4 linked regions of the Schizosaccharomyces pombe genome follow. The gene in region 1 interacts genetically with each later gene. Each region holds a gene or a part of one and is shown in the gene's direction. Other genes may lie near its edges. The genes, in order: rrg9, SPOM_SPBP4H10.16C, SPOM_SPAPB24D3.02C and dbl8.

Region 1 (6,518 bases):
GCTCCCAACTGTGTTTCAAAAAATGTAGAAAGAGACAAAAAGGCGAATTGACGAGAAACAACGAATCAAAATACTGTTAATGCTAAAAAATAAAGTAATATGCTATGGGTAAATTAAATCTGTGTTGACAAACCCGCAAATACATAATATGGTGTGGTCCCTCACGTCTCGCCAATGCTGAAGTAAATAAATACAACAAGCGAAACATAAGTTAAAGTTGTGTACGAAATCATTTGAACCCTAAATAAATTTGTGTTCTATACATGCAAACTTTAGACAGTTTGAAATCCGAAAAATCACTTTTGTAAAAAATGAATATATGAATAAATATATATATTAACATATATTGATATATGTATAATCTTAATACAGTTTACAAACTACTGTCTTCTTAATTAAGAAAACATGGTTCTCATGAAAACTTATATTGTTATTTAAGGTCTTGCTGCTATATATGCATTAGCAAAATGCACATTTCCAAAAAATGAAGTTAAAATTATCAGTTTACAAAAGACATTGAACTAAAGATCAAATTTTTCCACAACCGAATTAAAATGTAAGATTGTGTTTTTTAGAAGAAGCCAATGCGCTAATAATAATGCCATGCTTGCATTGCTTAAAAACAAACGAACTTCTTGCCTTCATGTAGCAAGGCTATTATCACGAATTTTCATGTTAATTTCGCTATGAATGCTTGGTCTTTTCTGAGTTAATCAATACTATTTAGCTAAGGTTTCGCTCATATAGAATACGAAAATTTCGCATTTATTAATGCAAATTTCCTCGATGTTTTTAATATATTGTGTTGCTAATCTGACTATATAACACTGCCTCTTCAAGGGACAAATAGTTTTAACAAAATTTGTTTACATTATTGAGTCAAGCAATTACGACCCGATGTTATAAGCATTACGCAGATTTCTTTTACAAAAGGGAGGTCTCTTTCATTTACCCCAAGCTTAGCATTACAAAATCATGTGCAAATGAGAAGACTACTTTTAGGGAAAATAAAAATCTAAACTTGATTGGAAAGCGAAAGTTTAAATCCTAAATTGTTTGAGGTTGACGTGTTAGTTTTTCACCGTAATAAGTAAATAGCATTGTATAATGAATAAAAGAAAAATTTTGATAGTTTAACAATTGCTGCTATTCATATTTTAATAGAATCTCAAAATTCATACTAATCGACTTTCTTATCCTTCTATATTCTTCAATATTTCAAACTCGTTTTAAGTCTCTCCTATAGCTTGGGATTATTCAATGAAATTGTAATTGTCGTCCTTTCCTTTACATTGTGAATACTAAAAAATTGCTTCTTCCAGAATTGTTTTATTGACTCACGGATTTGCAACATGTCCTTCTCCTCTTTTTTTTTTTTTTTTCTTTTTTTTTCTAATCTGTAAAAAAACCAAAATTTTACAATCTCGATAATCCTTTTAATGTCTATAGTCATCAAACACGTTTATCTACTTACTCAATACGATAATGTACAATAATTCCATACGAAACTTGCCCTTATCTGTTTTAGTTTTTTGTGGCACACCGTTAACTAATCGTGAATAAAATGGTTATTACAGTCATAGTCCGGTTTAATCGGATCAATCAAATATAATTAGATACCTACTTATTATCATATACATACAAAATTAAAAACAATACAAAAAAGAGGAAAACAAAGAGGCTCAACTTCTTACCGACTATCCTTTATCTCTCTTTTTTTTTTATTTTTTTTTATTTTTTCTCTTTTGGCACAGTGCTACAGAACATTTGTTCAACAACCCAACTCTGTACGTTTCACACATTGTCAGCAAATTGTTGACAATCAGCACAAGCCTCATTCTATAAAGCTAAGGAAGATTTCGTACCACTGCTGGTCTTCCAATTGCCCCTGCTTCCTTTCCTTTTACTGTAAGGCTTACCGGAAGGCCGTTTACTAATAACATTGCGAACCCGAGTGCGGTTGGGTAGTATTACCTATACCGCAAGTTCCTCCGCTCTTTTTATGACGTCAGGGGGAAATGCTTTGGTTTGCCACCTTGCGTCGTCTAACGCGGTGCAATATAAGGATGCGAAAGGACTGCAAGGATTTTCACCTGTCATGAACCAACAAGGATTTTGACGATTAGTACAGTGTTAAAACTTTTGAAATAGTATCGAAAATTCATTTACTATATGTATAAGTATTAAGGAGTTACGCATCTCTTTACAATTTTAAACACTCACGTACCTTTGGTTGAATCAAGCCAGGCAGGTCTCCGTTTGCGAACGACGGTTTCGGTTGATTCGAAACGTGGTATTAGAAAATCATTTTATTTATTTTCATTCCCATTCCATTTATCTATTCTATCTAATTTCGTCCCATTGTAGCTTGTTGTTTTATCACAAGCAGCTTTTAGGTCTTTGGGCTGTTACTTTTTTCTTCACTTCATTCCATTACTAATATATATATATTTTAATCAAAACGTACGCAATTCAACTCTGCGAAACTCTATCTTGCAAGCTTTCTTTCTCCATCTGCTTGTAATAAAGAAAATACTTAACTCCGATACTTCGATTGCAAAGGTCGGAGCACTCATTTTTATAAAAACCACAAAGCTTTCTCCTTCTTGGGCTTTGGTTTTTTATTCTGTAGTTTTACCGCCTTTCAAATATTTTGATTTCAATCTTTTGTAAAGGTTTCATCCTCTTTCATTTTCATTGAAAAAAAGTCCTTCCGATATGAAATTTGGACACGATTTTAAAAGGGCTCTCGAAAACGATATGCCCCCTGGTTGGGGCGAGGCTGCCATTCAGTACAAGGCCTTAAAAAAATGTATTAAAAGGTTCGTTTTTGAGCTGTCTTCCTTGGGTCTAAGTGCTGAGACCATCAGTAAATTGATGGCTCCGACTACCGTGGATCCCCAACAAGCTATTACGCTTAGTTACTCCCTTGGCAAAGAGGGACACATTGTTGTCCCCAAAATTATTATCAACGTAAATTTTGATAAATTGAAAACTGATAAGTTCGCTGCTTCAATGTTCAAGCAGTTGAATGCATCAAATATGATTACAACCGTCAGGAGTAATTATGCCTCAAATGTTCCTTCTACTCCTTCGGATTCTACTCAGCAGCCCCCTACCAATACGTTACCAAGTGTGTCCGCATCATCTCAGAGCGTAGAGACTTGTGAAACGGTTGATGAAGATATCGATACTCAAACTATGAGTTCTGACATGTCCGAAGTTCAAAGTATGGAAATATCGTTGAACTGTGACCACGAGTTTTTTGAAAAATTAACTTCGGAGTTGCAAAGTGTTGAAGGACTACAGCGTGAACAGCGTAAAATTCTTTTTAACGCAATTGATATCCTGAGTCATGAAATATCTCTTATAGCTTCCCCTAATTCCAAAAAGAAATACAAATCTCTTTATTGCTGGAGAAAAATTTTCGAAATTTATATGGATTCCGATATATTTATTTCTTGCAAGGAAGCTGATCAGAGTCATGAACGCACTCCCGAGCTCGCTGAGCGCCATTTGAAATGGTTTGACGATCAGGTCAGGCTAGCAAAATGTCTTCCCTCTTCCTCAAAGCATCGTGATCGTATTTTGTATGCTAAGTTTCTTGAACTTAATGAAAGTTTGTTGAAAGTTGCTTCTTTTCAGCAAATGAATAAGTTAGCCGTTACGAAGATCATGAAAAAGTTTGATAAGCGGACATCCTTAACCGCTCAACCTCTATTTTTTCAAGTTATCGAATCAGACCCTCTTCTTTTGGTCGACAATGCTTCTAAAGCTATATGCTTTTCACTCTCTTCTAAGCTATTCTCGATTATTCCTCAACTGAGGGATTTTGAATGCGCTATATGCTCTAACGTTGCTTACAAGCCGGTGAGATTAGGTTGTTCCCATGTTTTTTGTTTGCATTGCCTTATCATTCTTCAGAAACAGAAAGTTGATTTCTGTCCGTTGTGTCGTGCCAAAGAAGTTATGAAAGCCGATTCTCGCAATATTGATCACGCCTTGATGAATTTTATGAAAACATATTTCCCAAGAGAGATTAAGGAAAAGTTTGAAGAAAATGAGAACGATACGTTTACTCCTTCTTCAATTTCTGTTGTATCAGGTCAGAACAATTGTGTGATAATGTAGATAGACGACGGATTTGTTTCCGCTAAATTCCCAACCCTCTCTTAAAGGCTCAGGACTATTTTTTACTCACTATATTTGATTATCTGTTTTTTTATGTTTTCCTTGCCTAATTTGCATACTAACTTTCTATTTTTCTTTCCTCACCTAACTTTTATTGCTGTAAATAGCATTTTCGTGTGTTTCTTTGTTATAAACGTTTGCTTATAATTCTCGGTTTTTTCTTATATTTAGCTTTTTTAAATGCTTGTACATAATACTTGCTCATCACATACCATTAATCTTTACTAAACCGAACATATTTTTTAAAAATCAACATAGACAATAGACATTTATAGAATTTTAGCTTACAAAAGCTGTGTAATGTTTTAGGAAATCGTATTCGTAACTTAAATTTACCAAATTTGAACTCATTATTCATATTATTCGGAAGTTCTTGTAGTCAACCTCTGATGTATTTGTAAACTTAACGTAACTTTCAGCAACTAAACATTGATAGTCCGAAAAACAATGCTTTTATCTCAATTCCTAAGTTACCCACTTACAGTGTTTAATATGTCTCTCTTCACAGATTTTAATGAATAATTGTGCTATGGGTAGTAGTTTTTGTGTTTGGAACACTAGCAAAAGCTGTTTTTTGCTTTCTAAAACCGACTTTACCGGAGCATCAAGAAGTCCTTTGCCACGATTTCACTGAAAACTCCGAATGAACAAGATTTAAGATATTTGACAACGTTTAAATCCGAGTATTTCGCGGAGTAATTTAAGGCTGTTTACAACTATTACTAACTCAACCTAATATCGGAGTAGTTTTGAGCGTTGTACTTTTTTGTTATAAGTGGAAGTAATTATACTTCACCAGCTACTAAATATTCTAAGTGGTAATGGAATATATAGTGTCATTACTTAAAGGTCACATAGACTGAAAAAAGGAAACGTTTGGATTTTTTTGATGAATATATTCAACTATACTACTCTGATTTTTCGCCGTTTAAGCTCTACCTTCAAAGCTTCAAACAAAGCCTCTATAGAGTGGAAAAAGCAGAACATAGCGGTCAAACGAAAAATTGGAGGCTATTGGAATCCAAAAAAGAAACTTCCTTTAGAATCTATGGACGAAATTCGGCGTCTAAAGAAAGAAAAATCATCTATGTCATGTTCAGAATTGGCAAAACTATATGGAGTTTCACCTGAAAGTATTCGCCGAATTTTGAAATCCTCTAATAGACCATTAGACGATCGGGAGAAATCTCGTAAAGAAAAACGTTGGTTGAATAGTCTTAAAAGTAATCGTGATTTTGCATAGATTTATATACTTTTTTGAGTTGCCTTGAAATAATTCGATCTGTAATGTTGGAATCAATTGTTTATGAACTAAAAGTGAAGCTTCTCCTACCTACAGTAGTAAGGGTTTTGAATTATTCAGAAGAAAAGTATGAGCAATACTAGAAGACTTTTAAATTGCTACGAAATCACCATTCAATAAGTTACAAATTTCGACTATAACTTGATGAATGTTCATTTTAAAGTAATACAAAAACTATTATTACTTGTATTAAAAAAGCTCCATACACTACTTACAGAATCGGAACAGTGCTTTTTAAAATTCTTTTGCAATGAGAAAGCGTTGAACTTCTGCTTTTAGAGTACCAGGGTTGGTAATACAGTAGAGCTAATAAGTTGCTTTACAAGAGGCGCACAGCATCTAGCGATTAGAATTTTAACACCACTTGCTTACAAATTTAAAGCATGCAAATCAACGGTCGACAAAGTGCTTTCGACAACTAGTAAACAAACCAATTATGAAGCGTTTGATAGGTGCTCTCTATCAGTGTGATATATTTACAAAAAAAATAGAAATTGTAATAAAATACGAAAACTCGTTAACGTACAATCCACAATGTTTCGATAAGTGCATCCATTTACTATTCGTATAACCGTCTTAATGTGGCACATGGTTTCTCCACCAACGACATAAATCTTAAGCCAGTTTTAATCTTTATCTTAGCAGTTTACTGTAGAAGTGAAATCTTTTTTTGAAATAACTGTGAAACTTAGCAGCTTCTGAAAAAGTTGGTAACGATTTGTGTACTTTCAATTAAAAAATAATTTTTAAAATGCACCTTTGTTTTTACTAGACTTTAAAAGACTACCTAAGTATCATATTTAATATAATGGCACGGAGAAGATCCACGAGACGCGCATTAGTCGAAACGCCGTCAGATTTAAACGCTCAAGACTCTGACAGTTTAAGCGTTTCTACGAAAGAGGAATTAGGTGATGATGCTCTTGCCGCAGAAGAAGGTCAAAGTGTTTTAGATGAACAAGAGATAGAGGAAGCACTAGAAGAAGATGATACAAATTATGAAGAAGACATCATCGACGATGAG
Region 2 (6,839 bases), on another chromosome or scaffold:
TCGAATGGATACTATACAAGTAGAAACATCATGTCCTTTCTTCTATCAAATAACACCAACACGTCGTCATATCCATTTAGTGTTAATGGCGTAGAATTGGATGTTTGGAACGAGAACGCTGGCGTGTTTATAAACAATATATACTTCGGATTTTCTTTATCGGATGCTATGAAATTTGAGAACGAAACTTTTATCGCAAAAAAAATACTTGAAAACAGCCCTTGTCCCAATCAACCTAGTATCCAACCATTTGGGATATTAATGATGCTTGTTAGCACGATTTACGGAAATTTCAAAAACTTGTACAACTGTATCAAAAGAAATACCATTGGTTATATTTACAACTCTATTTATGACTTCTGGATCACTGAAGGTATGCTTTTCCCAATGAGGAATATGGATATTTTTAAGATCACAGCTATATCTATTGGGCTTAGTATTCCGGTTTTTCTATGGTTGTTAAAATAATTCCCATATGGAGCATTTTGTTCTACTTTCTCATATATATTTTGCAGATGTGATCCCTATGATTTTGTATGGCTATTCATTTGAATACTTTCAATGAATGTTTTCTCCTGAAAAGCCATAATGTTCGTTAATGTAATATTATTATTAGACAAGTTTATTTTATTTAATTTATCATTGTATTTTTTTTTCAAGTTAATTTTTCAATTAATGGTAATTATCTTGCTAATTTAATTACTTATTTCACAAAAAAATATATGAATACATTTATTTTCTTGTAAATCCAATGTTGATTTACTGGAATCTACTTTGTGTTTATAAATAAGTCGAGTAATTGATTGTACGTTAGTATTCAGCTACAGCTGTTCATTTTTCGATTATTGGAACTATATTCACTACCACCATTAACTAACATGGTGGCCTCATTAATTAAACGAGCAAAAGCTACATCTTTACGAAGTTTATTTCAAAAAAATGAGATGAATTTCCAAAGCATTAGATTTAATATCCATCAATTTTCTACCCAACCAGCTTTACGATCCGAAGGCTCTGAATTGATTTTTGGTGGACGATCTTTCGATTCATTGCTTTCTTCCATTAAAGAAACAATGGAAGAGAAAAAGAAAAAGAGTTCTTCTTTTGAGAAAAGGGATAAACGGCGTGTTCAGCTAAAAGAAAAATCCCCACTTCGCACTCCGCGTAACAGAACACAAATAATCGATGCCAGATCAACGAGGAAGGATACCGAGAACGAGAGTCTGAGGAAAAATAATTTTAAACGAAGAACACAGTTTGCATTTACTGGAAGAGCCACTAAGTCCAATGCTGGTGTTATGGATGTGCAATCACCATCTACAATGTCCACATCAAAGAATAATGTAAGAAATGCTGAACGTCCAGCATCAAAAAAGCCCGTATTTGGCAGCAAGAAATATTTTGACGTTATTAATGACAGCAACGTTGAAAACAAGGAAGAGACTAAGGATAGGAACTTAGATCGTGCTTTATCTAAGTTTACCCAATCCAGAGAGAAAAATGAGCAGAATCTTTCAAGTAAAGCGTCAGTTTTAAGAAACAAAAAGTCAATCTTGTTAAAGAAAAGAAATCAAGATGAAACTCAACTGACTACTGAGGAGGATTTTTCTGCCAATAATGATTCTACCGCAAAAATAGAGACCAGTATCCACGACCACAGAGATATTTCTAGAATAACACCTTTTGAACTTCCTTTTGTTAATCCAAAGCTGTTTGCTAGCTTTACTCCAATGTCGGTAGCTCTACCAGCTGGACGATTACTACTAATTAAACAGTTGCAAGAGAAATCTACCCAATCATCTTCTATGACAGGTCTCAAATAAAACCAGCTTATTGCCAAAAGTAGATAATACATTCATCTACTCATATTTTTGTCTCATACTAGCATAAAAAGTATAAATTAATTATGATTTTCAATCTTACTTTTACCATTGTATTTTAGTCACATTTGTCTGTAAGGAAAAATAGCGTTGGTGTAAAGCGAGGTAACATATTTAAATGTTACGTCGTTAATTTTTTTACGTAGGCGATGGAAGGCGTGTAAATCATTTGAGCATTGAGGAATCCGCAGTAAGTACAGGAAACTTCCACTGCATATTATTTACTCAACTTAGCTACCTGGGGAATACACATTGTTTGTTTTAAAATTTATCGATTTCAGAATTACATTGAATTAATTTTTTTTTTTTTCAATCAGGTCCGTTTCTGCTTCTGGGATTGTATATTCTATCTTCATAAAACCAACGAGGAATTCGTGTGAACTATTTATAGTGCTGCGTGTAAGCTAAAAAAGATATTATAATACTTTATAATGGCATTTCGTAAAGAAGAACTCAGTCAAACACTCTATGAGAATGAATCTGAGCAATCATCCGAAACCAAGGAACTAATGTTAAATAATGAAGAGAGTTTAAGCGATTGGCGAAATTACTTTGATGAAAAGTTAACAATTCCTGGTGAAAGTGGGGCTTTGAATGGGACTATCAATGGGTACTTAACACTTCCACAACCAGATGGTTGCTTACTTGTTTTGCAACACGGTGCTGGCTCAAGTGCCATGTCATTTGCACCGGTTACACAAGAGCTCTTGAGTAATTCAGATAATAAGGTTGGTTTTTTAGCGTTGGACCTTCGAGCTCATGGAGAAACAACGTTAGAACCCGAATCAGATATGAGCTTGGAAACATTATCTAAGGACTTTACTCACGCAGTCTCCTATGTTCAACGTATGTTTGAGCTTGATGAAAAAATCATTTTGGTCGGACATAGCTTAGGAGGTGCCATTTGTGCTTACTGTGCTTTTCAAAAAACTATTCCCAATACTTCTGGACTTGTTGTCATTGATGTGGTTGAAGGGACTGCGATGGAAGCATTGGGTTTTATGAAAACGTACCTCTCTAATCGTCCTACTAGCTTTAAATCAATTGATGATGCAATTTCTTGGCATATCAAGACTTTAGTTACTAGAAACAGATTATCGGCCTGTATTACAGTTCCTTCACTTCTCGTTCAGCAGGAAGATGGCACATTCGTTTGGCGAACCGATCTTTACAAAACATCGCCGTATTGGATGGACTGGTTTAAGGGTTTAAGTGACAAATTCCTAAGAGCACCATATGGAAGGATGCTTATTGTCGCTGGTACCGATCGTCTAGATAAAACGTTAACAATTGGACAAATGCAAGGAAAATATCAACTTGAGATTCTTCCTGAAACTGGTCATTTTGTTCATGAAGATGTTCCCGCTAAGATTTCCTCTCTACTTTTAAATTTTTGGCATCGCAATCAACCTTTGGTTTTACCTCCCAAAGTTGGTGCTACTCCTGTTCTACAGTAATCTTAATGATTTAACGAACTTTATTATACACTAAGAAAAATGCGTTATATAGTGGAGTATGTATGGTCATATAACGTTGTGCTGTGCAGGTTGCGTAGGCATCGATATCAAAGGCACCGCTTTCATAGTACCTATAAGTACGTTGCATTCGCATATATGATTGTATCTTTATTTATCATTACCCTTGATTAAAAAATAATTTATTTTATTGAAACTTCTCTTTTAAACACTCGAATTTTTGTGCCTTCATGTCTGTGATAACTCAGGCTCAGGAAATACCTACTGTAGCAGCCAATCCCGATTTCAATTATGAAGGAGATCCTATTATTATTCAATTATGCGATCGTGACACAGTATTTGAATTGAGTAGAGATCAGCTTTTAGGCCTCCCGGAATCCATCTTGATGTGTTTATTTCCTAGAGGCCTGTTGTTGGATTATGAGATTCAAGAATGCCAACTGACTCAAAGGCCATTAATATTTCAAACAGCTGACTTTGATCCTTCATTACTTCAGTACATATTAAATTATTTTCAAATGGCCGAAAATCGTACCGCTAATGATGAAATTGCATTATCACCACCTCCACCTTCTTTTCCTGGAAAATGTGGTATAATTCTGTTAAAAGAAGACATTGAGTTTTTTATCCTCCCACCCATTTCACCAACCACCAATATTGCCATTGAAGTTAGTCCGAACGATTTGCTTAAACTAAAACAACGTGTAGCCCAACGATTGCTGCAACAAAAGAAGATCTTTGATTGTTTACATCTCGAAAACTCCACCTCAGAAGGTTCCGCTGAAAAGAACCTTGTACGCATGCTTTGCTACAGCGGATTTCACGAAGATGACGAATGGAAACGGCGAATACAAGAACCACATCGCGCTTGTATTACTTCAGTCACTTTGACCAACCTAGATTTTAGTGCAGATCAGGGCCCTGTCTCTGATCCTGAATATTTTCCTGTTTATCACAAGTTGCTCCTCTTTTGGCAGAAACCAGCTCGGAAGTGTTGGTGGGATTCTTCTACCAGTATCACCTACAATGGGATCGAGTTTGCAACTTGGGTAAGAAGAGTTTGGACGTTGGAACTTGCTGTATTAGGCGCTAATACGTACGAGACTGCAGCGGTTTAAGTACAGGGTATGTTTCAAAGTTTAAAAGCATTTTTTCTCTTTTGTGTTTTTGTTGTTTTTGTTGTTTTTGTTATTCCTCTTTATTTTTAAATGAGCAAGAATTATTTTTGCGCAGCAATTACCTACTTAATCCTTGATTTGTAATTGCTTAAATTAGATTTGTACTCCTCCTACGAGTTTTATTATTTCTTGATCCTCTCTGAAATTTTTTTTATTATTTTATTGAACAACGTTCAGTATTACTTGTCACTATTTCCCTTAATACACAAAATTATTATATTAATTTACAAAATGTTTTAGTTGTCAGCAGCATACATGGGTGAAGTAGAAGACTAGATAAAAAGAAGAAAGGGAATTAGTTCAGTTTGAGTTCCGTAACCCTGGATGATTAGTAACATGATAGAATTGCTGCACACTTACCTTAAAATAGTATACGTTTGTTTATGTTTCATTACACGATCATGACGATGACGACGCTTGTGTTTTACTCGAACACTTAATGCGCTTTTAGGGAATGATAATACAACCGCTTCAATCGTAAACAATGAAGGGTCTACATACGGGTTACCAAAGAGAGTAAAATCTCTTGAGCCGAAGGAAGCGATTTTATCAAGTCGTATCGTATCACCAACCTGGACACCTTTCAAGTGAAAAGGCAATCCTAGTTGATCTCCTTTGGCTATAACAAAATGACGATTAAATATATACGCATCAGCATAGTGGTCAGGTTGTTGTTTTATTGAATCTATAACCTTTTGATTTACCACGCCAGAATGGGCCTTTTCGCGAATCAAATTAAGAGCTGAACCGGCCTTGAAAAATTCTATCTGGTCTTTACTCATTGTGTGTTTGCAAGGAATCTCTACAACTGAACCGTCTTTCTTAGTGACGACAAGGGTAATAGGCTGGTCCAAAACACCTTCTAAAAGTTGTTCAATACCACGAGTGGAAACCTTATCCTCTGCATCTATCTTTTCATAGTCGGCTTCATTGACGAAGGTTAAAGGCAAAACGCCTTGCTTCTTCAAATTAGTCTCATGAATACGGGCAAATGATTTGGTCAAAATAATACGACCATTCATGGCACGGGGTTGCAAAGCTGCATGCTCACGAGCAGAACCCTCACCATAGTTATGTTCAGCTACTACCAACCAAGGTTGTCCATCCTTCTTCCACTTCCACATCAGCTCAGGAATTGTCATGCCTTTGCCATTGTCATAGGCACGATTGACTTCTCCAGTAGCAGCATTCATTGCACCAATAAGTGTGTTGTTACAAATGTTGCTAAGATGGCCTTTGTATTTTAACCATTTACCAGCGGCAGAAATATGATCGGTAGTACACTTCCCCTTGACCTTCACTGCAACCTTAAGGTTTTCCATTTCTCCTCCTTGGTAAGGCTCAAAGGGTTCAAGGGCCTCCAAACGATCAGATTTGGGATCGATTGTAACTTCGGTTTCCGGAACAGGCTGAGGATTAGGCTCAGGAATGTAGGAAGAGTCACCAGCGATGAATCCAGCCGAAGGAAGCTCGACGCCCTGAGGGGGTCTAAACTTGAAGGCTTTACCATCGGGTGTTTGCAATGTATCATGCGTGGGATCAAATGCAAGATCAGAGGAAAAAATCTTGGCAGCCACAATTACGGGACTGGTCAAGAAGTTCATAGTCGATGGATTTCCGTCATTACGAGAGCGGAAATTACGATTGAAACTTGTAAGAATAGCATTTGGCTCGCCTGAAGCAATGTCATCGGTACGCTTCCACATACCAATGCATGGACCACATGCGTTTGCCAGCACAGTAGCGCCAGCTTCTTCCAAGCGTTCAGTAATGCCATCACGTTCAATGGTTGCGCGAATTTGCTCACTACCCGGTGTAACCAAAAATGGAACCTTTGGTTTAAGTCCAGCAGATATAGCTTGTTCAACAACATCGACAACACAAGTCATATCTTGGTAAGAAGAATTGGTACATGAACCGATAAGGCCAGCCGACAACTTTTTAGGCCATTTGTTTTTCTCAATGGCTTCACCAAATTTTGAAACAGGAGTGCTCAAATCAGGAGTGAAGGGACCATTGAGGGAAGGGGTAAGTTCCGAAAGGTTGATGTCAATTATTTGATCATATTTAGCCCCAGTATCAGCAGCAAGGTAGTTGTATTCACTATGAACCTCCGACGCAGCATCGGCGACCTCTGCACGGTGTGTGGCAATTAGATAGCGACGCATAGAATCGGTATAAGGAAAGATTGAGGTGGTTGCACCGACTTCAGCGCCCATATTACAAACAGTAGCCATACCAGTGCAAGAGAGGGACGCAACACCAGGGCCAAAGTATTCAATAATATGACCGGTACCACCACGAAC
Region 3 (7,431 bases), 530 kb from region 1:
TGTCGGTTATCGCATTTGGAAACAATCGCAAGGCACTCGGTTTCGGTCATAAAAAATCAACTTGCATCAAAAGGGTAATGAGATTGACCCAAAATCACACATACTGACTCCTGGGTCAAATGATATTTGCCTAATAGCTAAAACACCCTTAGAGCAAGTCATTGCTCACTTAAAAAAGCAAAATGTTCTCATAGAAGAAGGTCCTATTACAAGGGCTGGAGCTGAAGGAGTTATCCTCTCTATTTATTTTCGCGATCCAGATGAAAATTTAATTGAAGTTTCAAATTACATCTAAGAATGTTGAATTTGCTTCAAGATTCCTTTTTTTTAGCTTAGGACTTGCTTACATAAATAACGAATTGCAGTGCAATTCCTAAGGAATGAAAACCCTTACCGTTTAGTCAAAAGCACATAATGAGTGATAAATTTTTGATCAATTGAATCTTTGCTATTATGACTTTGGACATTGAAGAGAAAGAAGAGATAGTCACTTCACTCACAAAAGCAGAAATCCATCTTTCTGGATTGGATGAGAATTGGAAACGGCTCGTGAAGCTCGTTGGTAATTATCGACCCAATCGAAGTATGGAGAAAAAAGAGCCTTATGAAGAATTAATTCGTGCGGTAGCATCTCAACAATTGCATAGTAAAGCTGCTAACGCAATTTTCAATCGCTTTAAAAGTATTTCTAACAATGGCCAATTTCCAACACCAGAGGAAATTCGTGATATGGATTTTGAAATAATGCGTGCCTGTGGATTTTCAGCTCGTAAAATTGATTCATTAAAAAGCATTGCTGAGGCAACAATCAGCGGTTTGATTCCTACTAAAGAAGAAGCTGAAAGGCTCTCAAATGAAGAATTGATAGAACGACTTACTCAGATTAAAGGAATCGGAAGATGGACAGTAGAAATGTTACTCATCTTTTCGTTGAATCGTGATGATGTTATGCCAGCTGACGATTTGAGTATTCGTAATGGATACCGATATCTACACCGATTACCAAAAATTCCAACCAAGATGTATGTTCTTAAGCATAGTGAAATATGTGCACCTTTTCGTACTGCAGCAGCATGGTATCTCTGGAAAACGTCAAAACTTGCCGATTATACAAAGCCTGTTAGGCCGAAGAAACACTGAAGGACAGATGTATTATATATTTAAAAGTAAAAAGTTGAATTCGATAAGTTTATTCCTGGTTGGTCTTTTACATTTTATGTACGCTTCTTTTTATTTTTGGTTTACCAATTTATAGTATCTTTTCAATCATTTCTGAATAGAATGTCTACGTCCACTCAGACGAAGCATTTTCGTCACATTACGCTTATATAAAAGAAGTGATTTTTTGGTGAATGATGGCAAAAATAACAAAAGGGAGATGAGATGTTTTAATGGGTTCATTTGCAAATATTTACAAAACACTCTTGGGTGGTTAAGAAAACCCGTTTCTGCTACATTTGTCTTTTACTTTATGTGATACAAGATAGATGACGCTCAGCTGTCTCTAACGATATACTTGCGTATGATATGTTAATAATATAATGAATAATGATTTTTTTTGAACATGCTCATTTCTGTATCTGTATCTATGATGTCGATATAAATATTGAATATTAAATAAACCAGTTATTTCAATTATTTATGTATTGGCATGTAACGAGATAAATCAGCCTCTTTTACCAAAGGATATTTCACCATCATAGATACAATGTCAAATAACAATTGCGCACCAGCCAAGGATGTTATTTCTGCAACATCGTAAGCGGGAGCTACTTCGACAAGGTCAGCGCCTACGAATTTCAGACCTTGCAAACCACGTAAAATTGCTCTCATTTCTCTAGATGACCAACCGCCAGTTTCAGGAGTACCCGTAGCGGGTGCAAATGCAGGATCAAGCACATCAATATCAATGGATAAATATACCAAATTATCACCAACTCTGTCACGAATCTTTTTGACGATACCATCAATCCCCAAATCATCAATTTCACGAGCCTCAATGATTTTGAAACCACAATCAACATCATCATCGTAGTCAGAGAAACTAGAGATAGGAGTACGAATGCCAGCATGAATGTTGGCATCTTTGCTCATAATACCTTCTTGACTAGCAAAGTAGAAATAAGAACCATGGTTTATTCCATCTGCTTCATCGCCATCGCCAATCAATCCAGGAGCCCACGTGTCTAAGTGGCTATCGAAATGAATAACTGAAATAGGTTGTCCGTAAACACGATGCAAAGCTCGTAAGATGGGAAGGACAATGGTATGGTCACCACCGAGTGAAAGGACTCGAGGAAGCACAGTATCATTTTTTGCAAATCCATCATGGTCAGTAAAACTGGAGGGCTTTCGAGCTATTAGCTGGAAATATGCACTTTCTAACTGATCCATAGCTTTAAGAATATCATACGTGGTGACTGGAATATCTCCACAATCCACAAGCTTTGCCCATGATTTGAAAGGATTGATTTCAAGAGGTACATTCACTGCACCGTATTTAGTATTTATGCGTCGAGATCCTTCACGCAAACTGCTTGGACCAAATCGAGCACCAGGGCGGTAAGAAGTGCCTGTATCGAAAGGCATTCCTATAAAGGCAATATCAAAGTCCTCTGACCTTTTACTCAAACATTCAACATTCTCCAAACGACCAAACGTCGCAATCCCTGAATACATAGGTTCGACTATACTTGAGAATTCTACTTCCTCATAGTTACTAGGTACAGCATAGAATGGTGATTGTTTTTCCTTTACGAAAACTGGATTCTTCTCCTGAAAGCCCAAGCCCATCCTCCCAGCTTCTCCAAAGCCAGAAAGTAGCAGAAAAACTCCCCATGTAAACCATTCAACACTTTTCATAATTTCTTGTAGCTACGGTTCTAAGACAGTGAAACTGGCCTTTATATACTTTCAAATTTAGGGCTAATACAAGCCCATCATATCAAAAATCTACTAATCGTATAACTCATTTTATGGCGAATATCGGCGCCTGTATTGCAGAAGTACTGTATAACGGAGTCCATGGAGAAAAATGGCCGATAAATTTTACTGCAAGCATAGGGGGGTGGTTAGGAAAATAAGCTATCGATAGGTTTGGCGGAAATCTAAAGCCTTATTGTTTCTTATTTCATAGAGATGAACCTCGACAAGATAAATGAAAAGGGTAATAGCTTATTGAAATCTCTTATCCTATCCAGAATTTAAATAGAACTTACTTAATCAATAGATTAAGCAGTACATTAGAAAGATGATCATCATCTTAATTAGCAATATAAAAACGGGCTTCTACGTTCAATTGTCTCAGGAAATTTTTTAGGAAATCGTATACTTAATCAAGAGTTTAATCATTTGGCTTTTTGCTATTTTGACTCAATATCGCTATCCCATTTATCTGCTTACTGCCTTCTCACTACCTTTTGCTGTGACCAATTTTTGTTTTTAATATTGGTATTCAATTGGAGTTATTGCCTCGTGTGTATTCAACTGGGGAATCTTTCGTGTTCTGCACTTTGTATTGTTTGGTTTTATATATCGTTAGTTGTGTCTAGGAAAGATGGATGAAACAATTGGGATGAAGAAAGAATTTCACGATATCTCTGTTGGGGACATAGAGGTTGGTGAGTCTGCCCCCGTTACAGAAGACGATAAGATGCTATTGAACCTTGGTTATAAGCAAGAGTTTAAACGAGAATTTTCCCTACTCGCCGTGTTTGGTCAGTCCTTTGGATCCATGGGCCTGTGTCCTTCTCTCGTGGGCTCCATGGCCTTTAGTATGAATTGTGGCGCCGGAGGTATGGTTTGGTCTTGGTTTGTGGGTGCTACTTGTTTACTTCCAATTGCTTTTGCTTTGAGCGAGTTGGCATCATCAATGCCCACTTCTGGCAGTTTATATTTTTGGACGGCTTATCTCTCTCCTCCAAAGTACCGTGCCTTCTTAAGTTGGTTCCTGGGATATGTACTTGCACTCGCATATTCTACAGGATTTGCCTCTACTATCTATGCTGCTGCGGGTCTTGTTCAAGCAACAGCGTCTGTTGCCAATCCCTCGTATGCTCCGACTAAATATGAAGAGTACGGTATCTATGTCGCTTTAAGTTTTGCCTGTTCAGCTTTGATTGTTCTTCCAACAAAGTTCCTTGCTCGTTTCAGCAGTTTTAATGTGGTGTTTCAAATATGCACGATTCTTATATTTATTATCAGTTTAGCAGCATCATCAACTTCCGAGACTAGAAACACTGGGAGCTATATTTTTGGAAATTTCGAAAATTATTCTGGATGGACTAACATGGGTTGGTCCTTCATCCTTTGCTTCACAACCCCCGTTTGGGTTTTGTCAGGCTTTGAATCGTGTGCTACTATTGTTGAAGAGGCCAAAAATGCTAGCAAAGCAGCACCCATTGCAATTATTTCAAGTCTTACGGTATCTCTTTTTATGGGATTTTGCATTATGATCACTATAGCAGGCACAATGGGTCACGACTTTAGTTCTATTCTAAACACTCCCTACGGAGAACCAGTTTCTCAGGTGCTTTATAATAATCTTGGCAAAAGGGGTGCAGTTGGCGTGTCAGCTGTTTTGATAATAGCTCTTTGTTTTAATTGCTCTGCGTTATGCCTGGCTTCTTCTAGAGAAATTTTTGCTTTCGCTAGAGACAAGGGTCTTCCTGGTAGTTGGATATTCCGTAAGCTAACTCCTGGCGGCATTCCACTCAATGCGATTCTTCTTGTCAATCTCTATACCATTATTGTTGGCTTGCTCATGTTGGTTAACGTGACAGCCATCAGCTCTATCTTTAATTTAGCTATCATCGCATTTTTTATTTCATATTCTTTACCTTTAGTATGCCGTTTGTTGTTTAATCGGCTGAACCCTGGAAAGTTTTATTGCGGGAAATTTAGCAAGCCTATTTCAATTGTAGCCGTGGCTTGGTTATGGTTCATGGCGCTTATGCTTCTTTTCCCTAGTTACCAAAATCCGAATAAAGTGGAAATGAATTGGGCCATTGTAGTGCTGGGGTTCACAGTCTTTTTCTGCGTAGGATATTATTATCTACCAAAATACGGAGGTAAAACTTTTTTCAAAGGTCCTGTTAAAACAGTTGATGAGAATGTTACTGAAGGTGTTACTGTGGATTTTCAGGCAGATCATGTGTCCAAAGAAGATGATGGCAAGTCTTATAATTAGCATATTGTATATTAGTTTTGTGTAATAATTATTATGATATTGATTAATCGATGAATAAATATGTGAAAGACTTAGGTACCAATTTTCCTCGATTAAACTATATATATATATATATCTCTGTCATATGGTAATATTATAAACAAGCGTAGCTGAATTCAAAAGCAGTCCGCTATAAAACAGCTAAGTTTTTAAAAGAACATTGCTTCACCTTTTAAAATTCAACCCAGTTATAATATTTTTTAAAAATTTCTACTATATAGCAATCAACACCGAGTTAAACTATAATATACAATTAGGACTTAAAGATGAAGAAGATATTTACCCCATATTCCAAAAAAATGTTTAAGCGCTTTTGACTAACTCACGTCAAAAAGCTCGCAAAATCAAAAGCATCAGCCATAAATGCTGGCTGTACAGCGAAATAATTTTCGGCAGCATGTATAAAATTTTCAGTAACAGATGCAAGTTTTTCAGCAAGGTCTCCACCAATGTCTCTTAATTTAACAAAGAATCTGTTAACAGAATACATCCGATTAAGATCTTCAAAAGCAATGTCGGTGCTCGGTTCTTTGCCATTAACAATATTAGAAAAAAGGACAAGAAAGGGAGTAAATGGACAGTACAAGAATACCCATAAATAGCAAACATTCTTCGCAATAGGAATGATAAAAAAGAATTTAAGCACATTGATAGCACGGCGAGCTGTGTCGAGACAAATATTTGCTCCTTCTACGCTCTCATTTAGACGATGCAAAAAAATTAAGGTATTACAGTAAGATAAATAAACTTCAATACAAGCCGAGAAGAGCCTTTGCTTTTCAAAATCGAGCTCTTCGTAAATTTGTGCGTTCTCAGTCAACGCAATAAAATACTGCCTCAATTCAATAGGTAGTGCACGTTCCCAACAAAGTAGCTTCTCATGAATTTGCCAAATTGCCTTTTCTCTGTTCCTTGCATTTGAAGTATTTGTGCGGCTGTATACTTTTGTTCTGACCTCGTTCTTGAGGATAGTCAAAGAAACTTCTGAGCTGAAAATTAGATCGCCAGTTGGCATTTCTGAAAAGTAACGGCCGTATTCATAATTTGGATGCTCGCAATCAATGTCCATATCACTTAAAACAGATGGAGTTCCAAACACCAATGAAGTTGTAATCTCAAATATATAACAAATCCAGAAGACGCGTCTTCGTAATTCTGCATCTTTGTTGCTAAAATCAGCGTTGGCGCTCTCCCTATGCAAATTCAAGTCTCTGATCATGAGACAAGCTTGCCCACAAAGAGCTTTGCACAATGTGTGCAAAGAAACGTGGGCAGCAAATTGAATCATGATAAGTAAAGCCTGGATTTTTTCAAGCTGAGGTGTAAGAAAAAAACCCGGCTTCTGGATCAAATACCAGGAGGTGGAGAAAAATGATTCAGCAAGTTTTTGATCCTTACCAGCTTTACTTCGTGAAGCTGCTAGGGCCAAAACCGAATAAAAGGAAACAAGCCATGCCCCTTTAACTTGATTCCTGTCTCGGTACAAACACTCATATTCATCCATGAAGTCTTTCTCATAAAATACTGGCCACCAACAATTGATATATCGGAAGTACCACTGTACGTTTTCAAAAGCCCATTCTTTATCCGGAATATCTTTGAAAGCAGCATCGAAATTTGGAAATGTGCTAGAGAATAAGTCGTCAAAAGAGGTCTTTTGAGATGGCAACTCAAATCGACGGCTGTACTCTTTTAACTTCGTATTCACAAGGGAATTTGCATCTCGAATCTGCATCGCTAAAGAAGGGAAATCCTTTCGTTCAGTCCTATCTAAAGGTTCCGATGAATTTTTTAGCAAACTTAAAATCAGGTCCAACTTTTCCTCAACCTTGAATATACGATTGCTAAGAGAAGTAATATCGGAATTTAGCATTGCTGATCCATTTTCGATCGACGGACTTGGACTCAAACTGGGAATTGCTGACTCCAAAACTGGGTTCCCATTCTTTTTTTTCGTGGCAGAATAACTACGTTTCAGACGTTTTGAGTAATGACATTCTTCTTGGTACACTATGCAATTTTGACAGCTAGGTAGTTCGCGATTGCAGCGAATCTTTTTGCGTCGACAAAGTTCACATGCCTTACTAGCCTTTTCCACAGAAGTCATTTGCCCTAACGAAAAGTAATTTACATTTAAAATTTAATTTTTCTCTCGATTGATCTAAACGGAAATGCAAAGTAATTTGGCTGTGAAGTATTGGCTC
Region 4 (10,973 bases), on another chromosome or scaffold:
TTTTCCTGTTTAGGGTTTATACATGATATGGTCATCATCAAAAAGAGTATGCATGTACCCTTATCGCTTCTTACCTTATTGAAAGGATTGTCCGGATGTTTCTGAAATTCTTTATACATTATGTCTTCATATTGGTTTAAACGGAGGCCCGGTTGTTCTTTGCGTAGTTCAGGCAAACGAGATTGTTTGTATTCTGTCAAAGCTGCTTTAAACCGACGTTCAGGATGACGATCAATTTTATCTTTGGACGATGAATTGTTTAAACTTAACAAATCCAAAGCATCATCAATATTGCGGGCACTATATGAAGCTGTCTGAGGGGTTTCGTTGAGGAAAGCGTCTAAAGATGAATTCTTCTTTGCAGCCTTCTTTGACCCCTTTCCTCCTTTAGATGGAAGACTCTCCATTTCTTCTTTTTCTAAACGTTCACGTTCAGCTTTCCTCTCCAACGCAGCTTTTCGTTTTTCAGCTTCTTGCTCCTTTTTATTAGTTTTGACGCCCTTGGACCATTTTTCGTCTTCTTCAGCGTCTTTTTTTTTCTTTTCCTCGTCTTGTTTTCTAGATTTTGCCGCTTCGGCCTTTTCTGCTCTCTTTTTTGGATTCCCCATATCAAGGCTATTAATGGTATGTGAGATTTGAATGACTTGAACAACAGGTGATTTCTATATGCCGCCTCGTTATAAGAAAGGCGACGAAGGATGGATTAATAATCTGATCTGATAATTTTTATAAGTGAATGTCTCGTTATATCTCCCTATTTTTATCAGTGTATTTACAAAGGTGTATTGATAACACTGAACAAACGGCGTCAAACGTTGGTATGTAACTGAATTTTTATCACTAAAATAGAAAATAAAAGTTCTTAATTGGAAATCTGCTACTATTTATTTCCTTAAATGCCTTGATGCAGGCTAAGGGTATATTGAATGGTATAGACACTGCATAATACACCATAAATCCTTTTTATGACATGATGGCATTCTTAACAGTGATAACTCATTAAAAAGAGAAACAAAGTCAACCGATGTAAATTGATCATACTCTTCAATTACAATATTATATCATGACAATTGTTATGGACTTCGATGTGTATTTCATGAAGTTTGAAAAAGTAAAATATATCATCAAATTAAATGCTTATTCTTGCCAAATTATTCAACAATATCGTACAGTGAACAATTGCTTTCAAGTATTGATTAGTTTATTGTAATCTATATAAGTATTAAACTTCATCTTCGATACAAATAACGTACAAACTAACATTCCGATCATCTTAATTGTTAAAGGAATTAATGAATCTATAATTCTAAATTATTTTTTTTAGCACTTAAATTTACTCATCCTATTATTTACATTTACAGTATACGGTTTCTTAACGAGTATACGCTATTATTATGCCGAAACATGAATGCATATCAATTTTGGTTCTACCAGCACTGTTCCTCTATTTTGAAGGGTTTATAAGTTAAAGTCAAGTAAGCATTACCTCTGATTATTATTTCATTTTATATCAAGTTCTTAATCAACGTTCTTATTTTTTTAATTCGTGTCTCTATATTTTGACAATTACTTGAAAACTTGTCATACGACAAAGGTAAAGAAGGAATTGCTAGCATTTATAGCTTTAAAACGATGTATATTTTCTATTAGGGATATATTGTTATATTTTTGACTCTCAACGAATACTTCGTACTCGGTTCCTTCGATTGCTGTTTATCCTATCTGATATAAATTTGAAAATTTGAATTAGACCCTATGCTAACATATTCTTAGTTACATGTATATATAGAATTTTTTTTCGTTTAATTTTATTTTTGAAAATTAAACTTTTTGATCACCTTTCGTAAAAGTTCCTTTCGATGAGCTTTCTGAATTCTTGGAGAGCTGTTAAATATACAAATAAGCCTAAGGAAGAAGACATCAAACTCCCAAATTCTGCATCAAATCTTCCAACTACTGTACAAGCATGTGTGATACAGTTTATCTCTTCTCTAGTTAGTCCGGTTCACCCTCAATTGCTTTCGCCTGAAGAACTAGCAAAAGCATTTCAAAACTTTTACAAGCATACCGATGAGTTTATTGCTTCAACCCTTATCCCTCAACCCTCTTCAAAAGATCAAAATGTGCCTCTTTTGTTTCCTGAGGAAATAGATGCTCAGAAAAAGGCGAGACAACACTTGCTGAACCAAAAAGATGAATGGATGGACCAAATTGAAGATATAGTTTGCGAATATTTGTATGATCGGTATGTGATTACTTCGCCTACAATAACTGTTTACTAATATTGTGTTAGGATTTTCTGTTTATCTACAAGTACGGATGCTGCCAAAGATGACTTGTTAAAAAAATTTATTGCTTCTGAAGAAAAGAAAGAACTTATCAATTGCATTCCAATACCTGATGATGAAAAACTTACAAACCGGTTACATGAAGTCTCTGAAGCATTTTTTGCTCTCGATGAGCAACACACACCTAGATCGAAAATAAACACTTTTATGACCGTTAATTCAAGTATATTGAATGCCTCTCAACTTCCTCAAGAAGAATTGAATGCTGATTCTTTATTAAATTTGACCATATATTGCATTCTCTGTTATCCCGGATTTCATTTAATATCGCACCTGAATTTTGTGTTACGCTTTCGAAATGCAGATTTTTTAAGCGGAGAGCAAAGATACTGTCTCACAACTTTTGAGGCAGCCCTTACTTTTATTCTTCGAGCTTGTCCAAATCTTTTAACTCAATCGTCAATTCAACCCTCTGATGATCCTCTTTCACTTGAGGTAGCTAATAGCGAAACAGTTTCGACCTCTAACTCGCTTCATGATCCGAGTGCAGAACCCTACCCTGTGAATCGCTCATCTTTATCTAATTTAAGAAATCTGGGACTAGCACTTGAGAAATCTTATGCCTCTCTACTTAGTAAAGTAGCCAATCACACTGCCAAAAGTTCAGAAGATTCTTCCAATTCTGTAGAATTCGTGGGCGACCCACCTTTGGAACGCTTTTTGACTGTTTCTGATGCTAGCGATCTTAAAATCGGTGAAATTGAACTTCTTCTTTCTGACTATAAGCGCCTCGCACGTTTGCTTTTTGAGAAAAATGGTAATCAGTAATTTTGACTGAATATTTTCTTTAAAAATTTCACATCCAGTTGGTTTTCGGCTTTGTTTATGGTTATTTGATTCATTTGAGAGACAAAGTCATATAGAAAAGTTATATGATTGATCAATATTTTTTTTTTCTTTGTTGCAGGTCAATTCGTGAACAGCTTAAAAGTTTAAAAGAAAATTTTTATTCAAAACAAGGATTGATTATTCCTTGACGTCTATTTTATTAATGTATGAATATCACAAAGAACTAGCAAAAATGATTTAAGCTTGTATGTTGACGCAAAGATTGCATGCGAATTAAATCCTTACAAAGGAAATATATGAAACGAATATATCATGTTACTGCAAAATTTTTAAATATACTGAATAAAATGAACTGTGATTCTTTGCTCAGTGAAGAAAATAGTCATATTTGAAACTAGGAATTAAACACACAATCACAAACTTCGGATTATAATGGGTAAGAAAGTTTTTTAAGTTGTCACATTATATATAGTAATGTTTAAAATATATTTCGGATAATCATATATATCTTAATTACAATAAAGAAGCGTGATTTTGGTACATGAATTTATATACACTTTCAAAATATACGTTCATTTTTTTATTTAAAATTTCTCTTAAGGCTATTTTATTTCAATGCGATAATCGAGTGCTGTGTGGACATCAAATGATTGGTTGCACTAAATGTTTATAGTGAATAGTGTAATTTACTTCCTTAGAAACCTAGATTTTGAAAAATTGCAGTCGCGCTTTAATAAGTCTACTTCGAGAGTGAGAATGCAGCATTAGCTTGTGGTTATGGAAAATGACGAGGCTTTTGATAGATTAATAAGAAAAATTCAGGAAAATCAAAAACACCCATCTTTCGAAGGGTCCAATAAAGTTTTGCATTTGGCGCTTTCATACCTAAATACTAACAGACAAAACCCTCATTGGGTTTGTGATCCTAAATTACAAGTAGCAGTTCGTGAATGTCTTTTTCTATTTTCTTTTCAAAATGATAACGAGTATCTGGTATGGTTCAAAAAACATTTGAACGAACGCCTTCAGTTATGCCCCAAATGTATAGTTAAATATCACCAATCTTTAGATGATTTCAAAAGTCTATGTTTAAACATTTTTCACTTTGACCCAAATACTCTTGAGATTGTAATGGAGAAAATTTATAGTTGGGACATTTTTCGGTTACAGGAAGTTCTCAAAACAGTGCCTAAAATCGACACGTCCTCGGCCTCTAAACCTATACTATGCGCCTTCTACGAAATCTTATACTCTCCTCGTATTTTACATAATAAAGAAATCTTTCCCTTGTTCCGAAACAGATTTCTTGAGTCCGGTTTTCTTCGGCTCTCGAAAAACCTAGTGCCAGGTGTCATAAGTCTTCTCTTCTCGAGAGATGATGAGCTCCGAAGATGGGCTTGCAGTATTTTAAGTGATGTAAAAACAATCTCCGATAATGAATTTAAAATCCTTGAGGGTCCCCTTCTTCAGGAAATTCGTTCTTTAGACCAGAAGAAAGAAAATGAGAACGAGATGCAAATTTTTCTGAAAGGTTTATCGTTGCTGTTAAAGCATGTTGATCATCTTTATTTTAGGGGACTTACAGGAAAAAATTTCAATGTCGCCGATTTTATTCTTTCGGGATTGCAAAGCGACCATACTAATTTATGTCCGTCTTTCCTTGTATGTTTACATTCTTTGTTATACTGCTATGGACGTAATTTTTGGACGCCAGAAATTTCTCCCAGTGAAGTAATAGATAAAATTTTTAATGGTAATGCTTATAAGAGGTGGACAGAAGAAAATACATCCAATTTTTCAAACGACCAAAAGGCAGAGAATCCGTTTGAATGGGCTACCTCTCTTTTGAAGACAATTTCAATCATTGATGAAGTTGAATTAATTAACAAAATTTTGATTAATTACACCATGCAATATAAAAAGGAACTGGAAGTCGGTTTCAAAAATGTTCAGTTACTTCAATCACTTGCTGACATATTTTCAGTTTTGTTTTCCGAATATTTTATGATTTTCCCCCATAGTGATCAAAGTTTACAAAACAAAGTATTTGAATTACATTCCACTTTAGCGATTAAGTTTGACGAGCTGTTTCGTTTGCTAAACTTGGAAAATGAAGAGTCTGTTGAATGGAGGCTTATTAAGAAAGTTTTTGAATACCGATTGAATTTAGATCTTTATATTTTGAAGCAATTCTATTGCCATTATTTGGACAGAAATAGAAAGCCACCCTTGAATATCAAATCGGTAAGTGAGTCTTTTAAAAATTTTTGGGTATATTTGCAAAACGTATTTCGAGAGGAGAAGTTCTTTATGGTTCGTATTGTTTTTCGTGCTTGCTCTACAGTTTGCTTGATTGATAAGTTGCCGCCTAAGAAAGTTGACATTCCGTTCAAAAGTGATTTCGAAAATGCACTAAACGGATTTGTTGCAACATTTTCTGAAATGCTTATTCAGACTCAATGTTGGCATTTGTCGGCACAAACCCAATTGGTTTCAAATCCTTTAACTTTTCGTGGAATCTTTTCACTCGTTTTTTCTCCAATTCTTGAGATCTCAACAGGAAGTATCTCAATTATTAAATCTATTTCGCTTTCTGACAGCGTTGTTGATACTATAGGAGAGCTATTGAGAAGCCAGTTTTCAAATACACTAAATTCTTCATGTTATGTTCTTCTGCAGTGGCTTAAAGTCAGAAACTTTGGAGGAGCCAAGCACATTGTTTATTTTAATAAATTAATTATAAACACTATTTTTGACTCTGTTGATGGCTTAACTTCTAAGGATGCGACTTTTGCAAAACAAGTGGAAAAGAAAGAATCCCTTAAGAATTTCTGGGAATCGTTATGGAAATTCTTTACTCATTTTTTCATTGTTCTTCCTACTTGGCCAGTTCATGATAAGGACAATTTAGTTGATTTAATGCGGGATACCCTTGATTTTTGCGATATGCTCATTAATATTTTTGAGGAAGTTAACGGATTCATTTTTGGATTATCGGATAACGATATTAAAATTGTTTCGGCTAATGATAAGGGCAGTGCTTTAGCTATGTGTATAGCTGATTCTTTGGTTACTGTATCTTATTGGCTTAAGTTAACTGATTCTTCACTTCTAACATCCGTTGTGAAAGTGATTTGTAAAATGCTTAAAATTTGTAAAAAGTTGGAGTGTCCAATTAGTCAAAATGTGATTGATATTATCCATAGGGCATCAATTACCAGTGATGAACAAACAATTCTTACATTCACTGAGAGAGAGGATCTTTTTATATCGCTCACACCATACCTTTCAGAAGACGTTCTTAATCACTCTCCTTTCAATGATACCAATACGCTTGAAACTAAGTTACAGAGTGATGATCGGGGTTTGCTTTCTAAAGACCAGACTATTGGGATTGCGAAAAAATTACCTGAGTCAAACATTAGTACTTCAAATCATTTTTTGCTTCCTCCGAAGGCTATTTCTGCTTCTAAAGCCATCAATAGAAATGCTCAAAAATCTCAAAATTTAAATTTTTTGAAATCTAAACAAGAGACAACACAGCGAATTCGCGAATCCGCGAAAGTTCCAAGAACCAGTGCGGGGAACCATCTTTCTGAGAAACTTAATTCGGATAATCATATACCAAAAGCTTTGCAAAAGCTCGATTCTGCTGACCCAATTCGCAAGCCTTCACTTTTGCACACTTCTAAAAGTTATTCTAATCCAGATGACAAAAATACTTCAACTTCCGATGAAGATACCTCGGAGTCCGAAGAAGAGTCTAGTAACGGTCTATTCTCGCTTGCACGTGAAGCTAATTCTCATGCCTCTAAATCTCTTCCACAAAGAAGGCAGATTCAGTTCTTGGACTTTGATTCCCTTAAAACAAAAAATGTAGTTCATCCTACTCAATTGCGCCGTAATACTCAACAAAGTGCACAACTTGCTCGACTCCGGCTAAACCCTGATGTTCAAGAGTTTTACAAAGTAATTTTGGGTTGGAACCCATTAGCTGATTCTTTTTCGGCGTCTAATGTTGAGATGCAGTGCGTCCAAGCTAAATTCACGTATAATGATTCAAACGCTTATGAGAAAGTTTTCAAACCAATGTTGTTTCATGAATGTTGGGCTCAAGTGAAAAGTGCCGTTGAAGAAAAGCAATACCCTCCCATAGATTTAATCCTCAACACCCGCAGTACAGTTGATAACTTTGTCGATATTTACTTTACGTCCTGTTCACCTACCGAAGTCTCTTTTTTAAGTGATACAGATATTTGCTTACTGTCAAAATCACAAAGTTCGGGCGATACTAATAACCCAAAATCTTTTCAGTTGTGCAAAATTCAATCCATTTCTCGTAAAAAAGAATCACTTGAACTCTGTCTGCGGATGAATATTGAATCAATTGATCTACAGGAGTATGCACCGAACATTAGGTTCACAGCACAAAAATTATTTAATGCTACTACTAGCTTACGTGAATTTGCTGCTTTAAAATCTCTTCGCCATTTACCATTGTCTCAGAGAATTCTGGATGCCAATGTAACGCGTCTACCTTCAAATTTTACAGATGACAAAAAGCAAAAAATAATGAAGTCTTATGGTGTAAATGAACCCCAGGCATATGCGATTTATGCATCTTCTGTAAATGATGGTTTTACGCTCATTCAAGGGCCTCCTGGAACTGGAAAAACTAAAACCATTCTAGGCATGATTGGAGCTGTACTTACTTCTTCTAGTCAAGGGTTGCAATTTAATGTCCCAGGACAGACGCGAAAAACCTCAAAGAATAAGATTTTAATATGCGCTCCTAGTAATGCAGCCATAGATGAAATTCTCCTTCGTATCAAAGCCGGTGTTTACGATCATGAGGGTATCAAATTTTTTCCAAAAGTTATTCGTGTTGGATTTGGTGACTCCATAAGCGTTCACGCTAAAGAATTTACTTTGGAAGAGCAAATGATAAAGCAAATGGAACTTACGAACCTAAAGAAAGATCAAGAAGCAAACAATTCCAGTGATACTCGGAAAAAATATGACTCAATTATTAAAAAAAGGGACTCTTTACGCGAAGATCTAGAAAAGTTTCGTAGTACTGGAAAAAATAGTTCAATATTGGAAGCACAGCTTCGTGAGATTACCAAACAGAAAAACATGCTTGAACAGAGCCTTGATGATATGAGAGAACGTCAACGCTCAACTAATCGTAATCTGGATGTTTTGAAAAAACAAATACAAAATCAACTACTTCAGGAAGCTGATATTGTATGTGCTACCTTATCTGCGAGTGGTCATGAACTACTTTTAAATGCGGGTTTGACTTTTCGAACTGTCATAATTGATGAAGCTGCACAAGCCGTTGAATTAAGTTCAATCATACCTCTTAAGTATGGCTGTGAGAGCTGTGTAATGGTTGGTGATCCGAATCAGCTTCCTCCTACTGTGCTATCAAAAACCTCTGCAAAGTTTGGATATTCACAATCTCTATATGTCAGAATGTTCAAACAGCATAATGAGAGCGCTTGTCTTCTTAGCATACAGTATAGAATGAATCCTGAAATTAGCCGATTTCCCAGCAAGTTTTTCTATAATTCAAAACTACTTGACGGTCCCAATATGTCAGCAGTGACATCTCGACCTTGGCACGAGGATCCGCAGCTAGGTATTTATCGATTTTTTAATGTTCACGGGACGGAAGCTTTTTCCAACTCAAAGTCTCTGTACAATGTGGAAGAGGCTTCGTTTATTTTATTATTATATGAGAGGCTAATTCAATGTTATCTAAACATTGATTTTGAGGGGAAAATTGGAGTTGTTACCCCTTATAGAAGTCAAGTACAACAGCTTCGATCACAATTTCAAAGAAAGTATGGTTCCATTATATTCAAGCATCTTGATATTCATACCGTCGATGGGTTTCAGGGACAGGAAAAGGACATTATAATTTTTTCTTGCGTTAGGAGTTCGATGAGCGGTGGAATCGGTTTCCTTCAAGATCTTCGTCGGCTTAATGTAGCTTTAACAAGAGCTAAATCATCTTTGTATATCGTAGGCAATTCTAAACCGCTAATGCAAGAGGATATTTTTTATAGCTTGATTGAAGACGCAAAAACTCGTGGTGTTTGGAGAGACTTGAGTGCTAATCAATTTAAGAACTCAAAAAGTATATCAAACGTTTCGACACACCTCGCATCTAACAATTTAAATTTAGCCTCACGGGATACCCCAATTAAGTCGCCGTCGGTTGGTATCTGTGAGGAAAAACAAGAAGCACATAAAGTCAAAAAACGGCACAATATAGATAGTGCTAATTTGTCAAGAGGAACTGAGAGAGATGAAGATATACCGAATAAGCGCGCTAAGAACAAAGTTTCCACTGATCAGACTGCTGCTGATAATAAGGTCACGAAACCACGCCTTGATGAATCATCCAGTTCCAAGCAAGATGTGTTAAACAAAATAGACGAATCTGAAATTGAACAAGCGTCTTCCAAAAAGCCGGGTTATGTGGAAAAAAATAAAGATAAAGGCCATATGAAAAAATCAAAAAAGCCCAAATCGAAACTTGCTCTGGCGGCGATGGCCCACGGTTTTGCACCTCCAAAAGTTGAGCATTTCAAAAGGAAGTAGCCGATTTAGGTTTTAGTATGAGTATTTTACAGTATTACTTTTTTAATAACACGAGTAGCGGGACGTTTTCAATCATTTGAATCTTAGACATAGTTTATTTATTAATATTTCTCCTATCTAAAAATGATTTTGCTTACAACAACACTATATTAATTTTTACTCAATGGTATATATAAACAGGACAAATGCACCAGTATATTCTATATGTTTGTGTTAGGATTATATCAAACTTGTATTAGCTCATACTCACAATTTCATTATTAATTAGCTTCCAAAATATGCTATAAATTAGCATATTATCAGTGCATGTTCAATTGAGTTCTACAAAATACATTGAATCTATAGATGGAGATACATGGCAAAAACTTTTTAGAGACATTAAAAGAATTGGAGAAACACGTAGATTCAGCACACTATGTTTCCATTGATTGTGAATTTTCCGGATTATTAAGAGACTTCAACCTTAACAACAAAAATACTTTACAAGACAGATATGAGTTACTGAGAAAAAGTAGTATACGATACACAATTTTACAAATTGGTATAACCTTTATTTATTTGCAAAACAATGGAAAATCTTCGTGTATTCCCGTAAATATTAACGTAAGTCCTCTAGTTAAAGATGAATTGCACCTTAAGAGAGACTTCTGCTCGGAGGCTAGCAGTATTAAGTTTCTGATACAACAAGGTTTTGATTTTAATAAACAACTGACAGAGGGTGTACCATACTTATCACGGATTGAAGAAAGAAATTTGATCGACAAGGTTAATGAAAGATCAACTGACGACTTGACCAGCTCAATTTTAGATGCTTGCGATGAAGAAATTCTTGTTGACGCAAGAAATCAAATTAAGAATTGGTTATCGAGCGAGTTGTCACATTCCACTTCAAAATACTTGAACATTACTACCTCTAATCGTTTTATAAGAAAAGCAATACAATCCCTGGTTAAAATTGAATTTCCAACTTTAAAGAGTTACCCCAAAAGAACATTTCTGCAGGTTCGGAAGGCTATTGAAAATTCGACAACTCAATGCTCTGCCACTTCAAAAAGCGAACTCAAAGAAGATATTGCGAGCGACCAATTAATACTTAACAATCTAAATTTGATCAAACAGAATGTTGGGTTGCGACATTTATGGGACTATATACTTAAGAAAAAAAAGTCAGTAGTTTGTCACAATGGCATGGCAGATTTGGTGTATTTGTTTTCCCTTTTTGAA

What was found.
Region 2: mutations in rrg9 (region 1) and SPOM_SPBP4H10.16C together harm fitness less than expected from each alone (positive genetic interaction), as found in Schizosaccharomyces pombe (one large-scale study listed by BioGRID).
Region 3: mutations in rrg9 (region 1) and SPOM_SPAPB24D3.02C together harm fitness more than expected from each alone (negative genetic interaction), as found in Schizosaccharomyces pombe (one large-scale study listed by BioGRID).
Region 4: mutations in rrg9 (region 1) and dbl8 together harm fitness more than expected from each alone (negative genetic interaction), as found in Schizosaccharomyces pombe (one large-scale study listed by BioGRID).

Annotation. Positions count from the first base shown.
Region 1 is NC_003424.3:2,419,404-2,425,921, reverse strand, and holds rrg9 (protein Rrg9), read left to right. Parts: upstream 1-4,985; 5' UTR 4,986-5,080; coding exon 5,081-5,434; 3' UTR 5,435-6,018; downstream 6,019-6,518. Other genes in the region: pqr1 (ubiquitin-protein ligase E3), read left to right, coding at 2,719-4,131; Ino80 complex subunit Ies2, read left to right, coding at 6,303-6,518. UniProt on the Schizosaccharomyces pombe protein: Required for respiratory activity and maintenance and expression of the mitochondrial genome.
Region 2 is NC_003423.3:2,903,871-2,910,709, reverse strand, and holds SPOM_SPBP4H10.16C (phosphatase activator), read left to right. Parts: upstream 1-3,470; 5' UTR 3,471-3,585; coding exon 3,586-4,473; 3' UTR 4,474-4,748; downstream 4,749-6,839. Other genes in the region: SPOM_SPBP4H10.19C (calreticulin/calnexin-like protein), read left to right, coding at 1-468; SPOM_SPBP4H10.18C (uncharacterized protein), read left to right, coding at 879-1,823; SPOM_SPBP4H10.17C (carboxyl methyl esterase), read left to right, coding at 2,312-3,337; aco2 (aconitase/ribosomal domain-containing protein), read right to left, coding at 4,829-4,853, 4,894-6,839.
Region 3 is NC_003424.3:2,947,847-2,955,277, reverse strand, and holds SPOM_SPAPB24D3.02C (amino-acid permease), read left to right. Parts: upstream 1-3,073; 5' UTR 3,074-3,556; coding exon 3,557-5,188; 3' UTR 5,189-5,270; downstream 5,271-7,431. Other genes in the region: DNA-3-methyladenine glycosylase Mag1, read left to right, coding at 454-1,140; SPOM_SPAPB24D3.03 (agmatinase), read right to left, coding at 1,636-2,862; toe3 (transcription factor), read right to left, coding at 5,550-7,334.
Region 4 is NC_003423.3:2,556,069-2,567,041, reverse strand, and holds dbl8 (ATP-dependent RNA helicase Dbl8), read left to right. Parts: upstream 1-3,872; 5' UTR 3,873-3,914; coding exon 3,915-9,749; 3' UTR 9,750-9,892; downstream 9,893-10,973. Other genes in the region: oxidative stress transcription coactivator/ribosome recycling protein Oxs1, read right to left, coding at 75-608; guanyl-nucleotide exchange factor Muk1, read left to right, coding at 1,860-2,245, 2,294-3,116; tri1 (CAF1 family ribonuclease), read left to right, coding at 10,095-10,973.